2 linked regions of the Rattus norvegicus genome follow. The protein of the gene in region 1 purifies or fractionates together with the protein of each later gene. This does not show direct contact. Links are inferred from orthologs where the notes say so. Each region holds a gene or a part of one and is shown in the gene's direction. Other genes may lie near its edges. The genes, in order: Rpp30 and Rpp25l.

Region 1 (4,444 bases):
CACCATGACTTTCAAAGAATTCTGTCCCCCCCGAATCTTATCTTAGCATCAAATAACTAAAATTCTATCTTATCTAGATCCTCTACACAATGGCCATTCTATGGACCAATCTAGATTTTGCGATCCTGTATAGAGACACCTCTCTACTACTATAAAGGTTAGAACTGGACACTCTGATGAAAAAAAGCAAGAGTTTGTTTTGTATGGCCTTGCTCTAGTTGCAGAAGTTATTTGGTTGTTGTTTTGCTCTGGGGAAATAAAAAGTATTGGAAACAATCATTTTTGAAAATTAATCAAAAAATAGGTGCAGCTGTGCTCGGCTGTAATCCCAGAACCAAGGATACTGAGCCAAGAAGATTGTGAATTCAAGTCTACCCTGGACTACTAATAATACTGCCTCTGCCTCCCCCTCCTCCTCCTCCTCCTCCTCCTCCTCCTCCTCCTCCTCCTCCTCTTCCTCCCCCTCCTCCTCCCCCTCCCCCTCCCCCTCCCCCTCCTCCTCCTCCTCCACATGATCATCATCATGGTCGTCGTCGTCGTTGTCATCATCATCTTTCAGAAATTTGTAAGAAACTAGAGATCGTTACAGTAGTGTGATCAGAGAGAGAAGACTCCCTATGGTTTGTGATCAGTACAGAAACTGAAAATGCTTCACCTTTCAGCACTTTGGTATTATCCCAATGGACAAGCTCATGATCAGTGGACTTTTCTTCTTTGAGAGACCAGCAGTTCAGAAGTCCTATTGAGTTGCACAAGGTAGGAGCTGCTTATTAGTAATGCGCAAAGGGTTCGCATGCTGGAACGAAGACTGAATGAAGAGGGGTAATGGACTGGCCCTCTATGTCAAGTAGGTTGAAAATCATGCCACCATCTTAGGTTGGTGAATAATTGATCTGTCAATATTGAAGAGTTTGTTTTTTAAGAGTCCATTTTAAAGCAGAAACACCAAATGATATTTTTATATTTCTCATGAAAAATTGTAAAACATGTTTTTATTTTTGCCCCTCCCTGTCAGTCCTCTCGCTAAGGGAATGCTGGCGATAAGCCATCATCTTTGAGATCACTCTGCCATCTTGTGGTTGTAGATGTTGGCTGTAAGGAATTGTCAAAGCTCAAAGAGTTTAGATAATCTTTAGCCACAGACCAAGTACTTCAAAAAACCCTTTGCGGCCATTTTCAAAGAATGGAATGTACTGTGGAAACAGGAAAGAAAAACAACTTTCAATGTCTCTTCATTTTTTGTTCAGTTTATCTGCTTTTGAGACTATGTATTTCAGATCAGCATACTAACTTTGGCGGGCTCTAGGGGGATAGGAAAGTCTCTGCTGACTGAGAAGGGAAAACTACAAATCCCAGGATGCCCAAGGAACAACCTAAACTCCCAGCATGCCTGAGGGGCAACACAGCGGCTGTGCAGACTTGCGCGCGGGTTCTCTTGGGATGTCAGCATGGCGGCGTTCGCAGATTTGGATCTAAGAGCGGGCTCAGACCTGAAGGCTCTGCGCGGACTCGTGGAGACCGCTGCTCACCGTGAGTCTTCTGGCTTCGCGTTGTCCTCCCTACCATCCAGCTTTGTTTGGTAGTTTTTTTCAGGCGCTATTCGGGTCTCGCGTGGGATCTGCCTGACGTCTCTAGAGGCAGATTATAGCTGCAGTATCACCCGGATCCCCTGCGTGAGAAACTCAGAGGCTCTTGACAAAACTGTTGTTACTTGTGTTTGCCCAGTCATTCGTGCAGAGGGAGAGAACAGAGGCCCAGGGGGTGGAGAGATTAGCATAGGACCTACGAGCTGATAAATGATAGAAACGGACTGCACTCCTAAGCCGGCTCTTTTTGAGTCACACGACGTCTGTCAAATACAGAAAGCTGGGTCATGGGCAGGAACTGCTGTGGAAGCTTAGAGAATGGAAAGGGTGTTACCTTATTTTTCTAGAGCATTATAAGTTCCTTGAGGATGAGCATTGATCATGGGAGCTCTCACCTGGCATAGGGCTTGCCAAATAATAGATTCTCAAAACCCTTGTAGAGGAAGGAAAGCAGGGAGTTATTGGGCTGCCTGATAAGAGGAACGACCGTTTTTTGCTTTTTGTTACTTGATTTTTGTTTTTGTCATTACTATGCATTATCTTTAAATATCAATACCCTATCATCCTGTCGGTATTTGGACAACTTAATAGATAAGAGTCGTGATTTAAATCCATTGGGGAGAGGGCACGTATCACAAACAGTACACTAACTGTTGTGATGGTAAGGCAGGCCTGTAGTGTTCCTTGTCTCAGTGTAGAGAGAGTAGTACCTCAAAAGAGGTGTGAGGGAGTCATCCCTCCTTTGCTCCCTAGGAAAGAGGAAATAGAAAGGGTATCGCAGAAGAAGTGAATGAATGATGTCAAAGGTGACAGAAAGACATATAAATCTGAGTTTTTAACATTGTGTGAACATAAACCACAGCCTAAATATGTTCCTGGCTTCTAAATGTCACAGCCAAATATGTGTACTCTTCTAAAACGCTGGGGCTGTTTCACATCATTTTCATGACACTTGAAATTCCTGTCTGCTGTTACCATCATGTGACAGATGAAGAACCTGAAACTCCACCTTAAGTAACAATAAACAGTAGGGCTCAGATCTGCCTTCTGCCCCGCCCCCTTATTGTCTAGGTCTTAGAATTGCGTCCAGGATTTTGCGTATGCTAAGCAAGCATTTTAACACTTAGCTACATCCCTAGCCTCATCCCATACTCTTGAATCTCATATCAGTATGATCACTGTGAACAAGAAAGAATATTTTTTAAATAACCTATTTTTCTATTTTTCAGTGGGATACTCAGTTGTTGCCATCAATCACATTGTTGACTTTAAGGAAAAGAAACGGGTAAAGGAGACTTTCTTGGGTTAATTGGTTACTAAATACAAGTATTTCTAAATATTCATGTCTGGAGTTGGGAATATGAACTAGAAACAAGTATAAGTACTAGTTACTTTTCTTGTTGCTATGACCACATACCTGCAAAAGCAACTTAAGGAGGGGTTTATTTTGCTTATACTCTGAAGGTACAGCCCATCGTGGCAGTAGGGGCATGAGATGGCTGGTCACAGTTTCTCCTCAGTCAGGAAGCAGAAAGAGATGAATGCTGGGGTTCTGCTCACATTGTCCCTTTTAGTTCGCTCGCTCAGGCCCCCAACCCATGATGTAGCACAGCTCCCATTCAGGGTGGAAACACCATTATAGAAATATACAGAGATATGTTTCCATGTTCATTTCTAATTCAGTCTAATTGGCAGTCAGGGATCAATCATCTAAGCGTGTTTCTTTTTTATTAAGGGAAGGTCTTGCATGTCTCTGGTCTGGAACTCACTTTGTTGCCAGGGATGACCTCCTGCCTCTACTACCCCAGTGCTGAGATTACAGGCCTATAGGGAAGGCCTTGTGCACTCACCTTGTGCTTTTTGGAAGGCAGTGTACCAGCTGTATTCCTTAAAACCCCCTGCATTTACTTACTTTAGCAGTTGAACAATCGAACATATATTCATACAAATGACTTTTGTTTTGTTTATGAGAAACTCTAATGCAGCCTAAGGAATCCTGACTTTGAGCTCATATTAACTATGTTACCTTCAAAGATGTTTAAAAGTACATTGCTCTTAAATGAACTGAAAGCATAGTATATCTTCTTGTTTACTTTGTTGCCATGGTCTCATGAACTCATTGATTTCTCTCTTTGATAGACTGTCAGTACGTATATTTCTTTTTAAGCAAACAACTGTATATATGTCATTTCTGTCTTCAAGATTGCTTTTTGTTTTGAGGGTTGTTTTGTTTGTCCTAACAGGGTTTCTGGGTATAGCCCTGGCTATCCTGGAACTTACTCTCGAGACCAGACTTACCTTGAACTCAGAGATCCTCCTGTCTCTGTGAGTGCTGGAATTAAAAGCATGTAGGCATGCACCACCACAGTCTGGCCTTTACTCATGTCCTCTGGTGTTCTTAGCATCTGCCCTTTAGTTTCTTGCCTTAAAAAAGGAGAATAGGCTGGAGAGATGGTTCAGTGGTTAAGAGCACTGACTGCGGGGTTGGGGATTTAGCTCAGTGGTAGAGCGCTTGCCTAGGAAGCGCAAGGCCCTGGGTTCGATCCCCAGCTCCGGAAAAAAAAAAAAAAAGAGCACTGACTGCTCTACCAGCGGTCCTGAGTTCAATTCCCAGAAACCACATGGTGGCTCACAACCATCTATAATGGGGCCTGAAGCCCTCTTCTGGGGTGTCTGAAGACAGCTACAGTGAACTCATATACATAAAATAAATAAATAATTCTTTAAGAAAGAAGAAAGAAAGAGTAAAGCTATTTAGTACATTTGAATACCAGAGGTTAGCTTTCTTTGTTTTTTTTTCCCCCTGAGAGATAAAGTGTTTTGCTGTGCTTTATTCTTTATCCTATAACCAGAGCAGC
Region 2 (3,466 bases), on another chromosome or scaffold:
AGCAGCAGAATGACAGCTGCTCCCCATGTCCCCACCAGGGGAGGTAGGCAGGCTCCAGGGCCTTCCACCAACCTGTCTTTATAAGGCAGAGACAGCTTTGCCTCTGAATTCAAATACTACCTGTCTGTGTTCAACTGGGGGCTCTGAGGTCAGAGGTCAGCTTTACCTTAGGGTCATGATTTGTACTCCCTGTCAAATGTATTTATTTCAGTGACAATAAACCATAGAGACCACTAAAGCAATGTGTTGGCTTGCTGATACAGGATGGGCTTGGCTGTGAGGATCTGGGTGGTGAAGAGGAGAGCTGCCAACCCCATGGGATGGGACCAGGAGCTATACCCCTGATCTGGTTTGCTGAGAGATAGAGTTCTCTCATCATTTGACTATACAGCGGGGCATTGTATATTTATTTATCTTATATTTGCCAACTACCCTCTAAATATCACATCCTATGGTAAGTAAGGAGGGCATAGGCAGGGACAGCTAATCTCTACACAGGGTTTGGGGAAGACCAGGTAGGCCTGCATGTCAGGTGGTCCTGGAGGAGCAGGAATGGACGTTCAGAGCCAAGGCTGCACTGCCTTGTGTCTACATAATACCAGTAGCCAGAGGAGGAGCCCAAGATGTAAGAAATTTTAGGATCTTGAGAGGAGGAAAATCAGGGTACATTGATGAGAAAACAGGGAGAAACAGTACCGCGCTCCACCCGGTGTATGCTGCCCTCTTGTGGTCTGAGGGAGTGCCTTAGCTCCTTCAACTGCCTGTAGAGTTGCTTCAGCCCAACCTGTAGAGTTGCTGGCATCCAAAATGCAGCGTATCCAAACGGATCTGAAACTGGCAGTCATCCTAAACTATTCTACCCGAATAGTCACCCGCGCGTCCCCAAAACTTCATACAAGTTTCTATCAAGTTTCTACCACCTCTTCTCAATTCTTGCTGTTTCGGTGGTTAACACCTCATTGGACAAATATCGGAGGGCCTATTTTTACCCTGGATACTGGACTAGGCTCTGTGCGCACGCCCCCGTGGCCGAAGCGCTATGATGATGTTGAGTACAGCCCCTTCCCAGGGTCACCAGTATCTGTTGCCCCCACTACCGGATCCGCCATGCTTATAAACCAATCCTCCGTGGCCAATGAGTTATGCACAAGCTATGGCTTAGACCTTACTGAAAACCGCCGGGGTTGATCAGTGTCCCAGGATGAGAACAAAGCTCAGAACTCCGTAACTAAGGGTCTTGCCTGCTTGTACCCACCACGGACGTCGCCTTCGCTGCTGTGCCATCCATCCTTTAAAGGCACAAATCTGCATTCTTCAGGACTCCTCCGATAGCTGTTGCTCTCTCAGGTGGGCCTTCTGCAGGTGCCGGTGTGTACCGCGGACCACTGCGCTGACGCTCGAGGCCGCCCAGGTGACAGCATCAGCTCCTCTGAGTCGAACAGCAACCCGGGTTTCCCTCAGGTCCCGCCCCCTGCGTGCGCGGCCCCGCGGCTCCGCGCGCTCTCGGTCTGCACGCCATCTTGGCTACCCGGTGAGGGTTGAGCGTCTTCTGGCAACGGTGGTAAGAGCCAAATCCCAGGGAGTGGGGACTCAGAGTTAGGGAAAGGGGGATACCTGCTGCCTGGGACAGCGGCCCACGATCGGGGAGTCCGCCAACCGCTCACGAGTGGCCCGAGCAGCTCTCCGGGGAGTCCTCACCCGCGAGTTCCCGAGTGGCCCGGTTCAAGCTAGCCTACTCAGTTAATCTGGGAGTGAGGTCTTCTCTGCCCCCCACACACCGTAGGTGAGACCGATCCTTTCTTTGGGGAGTACTTTGTGAGGGTTCATGGCTGTGCCCCAGGGTCCTTGAAGCCCAGTGAGGAGAACCTGCCTGTTCTTAGAGAGTTGTGGGCCTGGGGTCTGGGACCTAGCCCCGGAGAGCTTGAGATGATGAAGCACAACCCTACCCCAGAGAGCCTAGTTTTTGGGAATTTGTTTTTGTCAATGTTAGAGACTCGTGGATGTATTTAGAAAGGGGTAGATAATTCTCGGCCCCAGCCTTGAAGTGCTGGGGTGAGGGTGTAAAAGCACTCTCCGTGGTGAGGAACAGGACCACATTCTGGAGGGAGTGATGGAGGATGGTCCATGTGATCATGTTCCTGCCACTCATCTGACTCTTTCCCGCAGTGTATATCCAGAGAGTCACCAAAGGCTCGAAAGCAGAATGGAGCACTACCGGAGGGCTGGCTCTGTAGAGCTCCCAGCCTCATCACCAATGCCCCAGCTACCTCCCGACACGCTGGAAATGCGGGTCCGAGATGGGAGCAAAATCCGAAACCTACTAGGGCTGGCACTGGCTCGTTTGGAAGGAGGAAGCACAAGGCACGTGGTGTTCTCAGGCTCCGGCCGGGCCGCTGGAAAGGCCGTCAGCTGTGCAGAGATTGTCAAACGGCGGGTTCCGGGCCTACACCAGCTCACCAAGCTTCGCTTCCTGCAAACTGAGGACAGCTGGGTCCCAACTTCACCGGACACGGGCCTGGACCCCCTCACAGTCCGACGCCATGTGCCTGCAGTGTGGGTACTGCTTAGTCGGGACCCCTTGGACCCCAGTGAATGTGGCTACCAACCCCCAGGTGCACCTCCTGGCCTGGGCTCCATACCTAGTTCCAGCTGTGGTCCCAGACCCCGAAGGAGGGCTCGGGACACCCGGTCCTGACGATCTGCTGGACCTGACTGTACTCTAGACCTGAGTATCTGTGCCTTCTCTAAGAAGTGCTTGTGATTGCTCACCATGCCAGCAGAGTCCACAGAAGAACTTCCCCTCCTCTCTGGAATGAGGGGTGGAACTGTTAAAAGCACTGGTGTGAGCGCAAGGCCCTGGGTTCGGTCCCCAGCTCCGAAAAAAAGAACCAAAAAAAAAAAAAAAAAAAAAAAAGCACTGGTGTGGGTCCGGTCAGTGCTGAGTTAAAGACTGCGTGAGGAGAGCTTACTCTGCCTCTATAGTATGTCTGACTTGCCTTTTCTGACTAGGGAAGGGAAATAAAGGTTGTGCCGCTTTGTTTGGCCTGCGTGTGAGTGGGGCTTGGCTTTATCCCAGGAGCTCCTAGGCTGGAAGCAGGAAGGATACAGAGAGACTGGCAGTGGATGACGGATCTGGTCTCGATGAAAGTTCTAGCAGTAGTAACCTGGATGGCTTCTTGCCGCCTGCTTTAAGCTGGGTTGGGACTCAGCCAGTTGTCCCATCTGTGGCATGCGTATGTTTTAGTGTAGTGGGATCATGAACTCAGCCTTGGCGGTTCAGGGTTTTGATCCTGGTTCTCCTACTCCCAAGTTACTGCTCTGTGGTTTTGGATAAAAGTTCCTTCTCTGGGTCTTAGCGCTCTCATCCAAAAAGTGGGGGGGTGAGGTGCTTACCTCGTTAGAGCTGTGAAGCTTAGAACGAGGTGCACACATCTGCCATTCAGCCTCCACCTGAGCACCCGGTGCT

What was found.
Region 2: the proteins of Rpp30 (region 1) and Rpp25l purify together in Homo sapiens (co-immunoprecipitation; 3 studies listed by BioGRID and IntAct, counting the BioPlex papers as one, with this or other methods). This does not show direct contact. The link is inferred for Rattus norvegicus from reciprocal best matches to the Homo sapiens genes RPP30 and RPP25L.

Annotation. Positions count from the first base shown.
Region 1 is NC_086019.1:243,197,273-243,201,716, forward strand, and holds the start of Rpp30 (ribonuclease P protein subunit p30), read left to right. Parts: upstream 1-1,440; 5' UTR 1,441-1,448; coding exon 1,449-1,530; intron 1,531-2,815; coding exon 2,816-2,871; intron 2,872-4,444. UniProt on the Homo sapiens protein: Component of ribonuclease P, a ribonucleoprotein complex that generates mature tRNA molecules by cleaving their 5'-ends. Also a component of the MRP ribonuclease complex, which cleaves pre-rRNA sequences.
Region 2 is NC_086023.1:61,673,869-61,677,334, reverse strand, and holds Rpp25l (ribonuclease P protein subunit p25-like protein), read left to right. Parts: upstream 1-1,513; 5' UTR 1,514-1,561; exon of another isoform or gene 1,562-1,783; intron 1,784-2,166; 5' UTR 2,167-2,203; coding exon 2,204-2,695; 3' UTR 2,696-2,914; downstream 2,915-3,466. Other genes in the region: Dctn3 (dynactin subunit 3), read left to right, coding at 1-13. UniProt on the Homo sapiens protein: May be a component of ribonuclease P or MRP.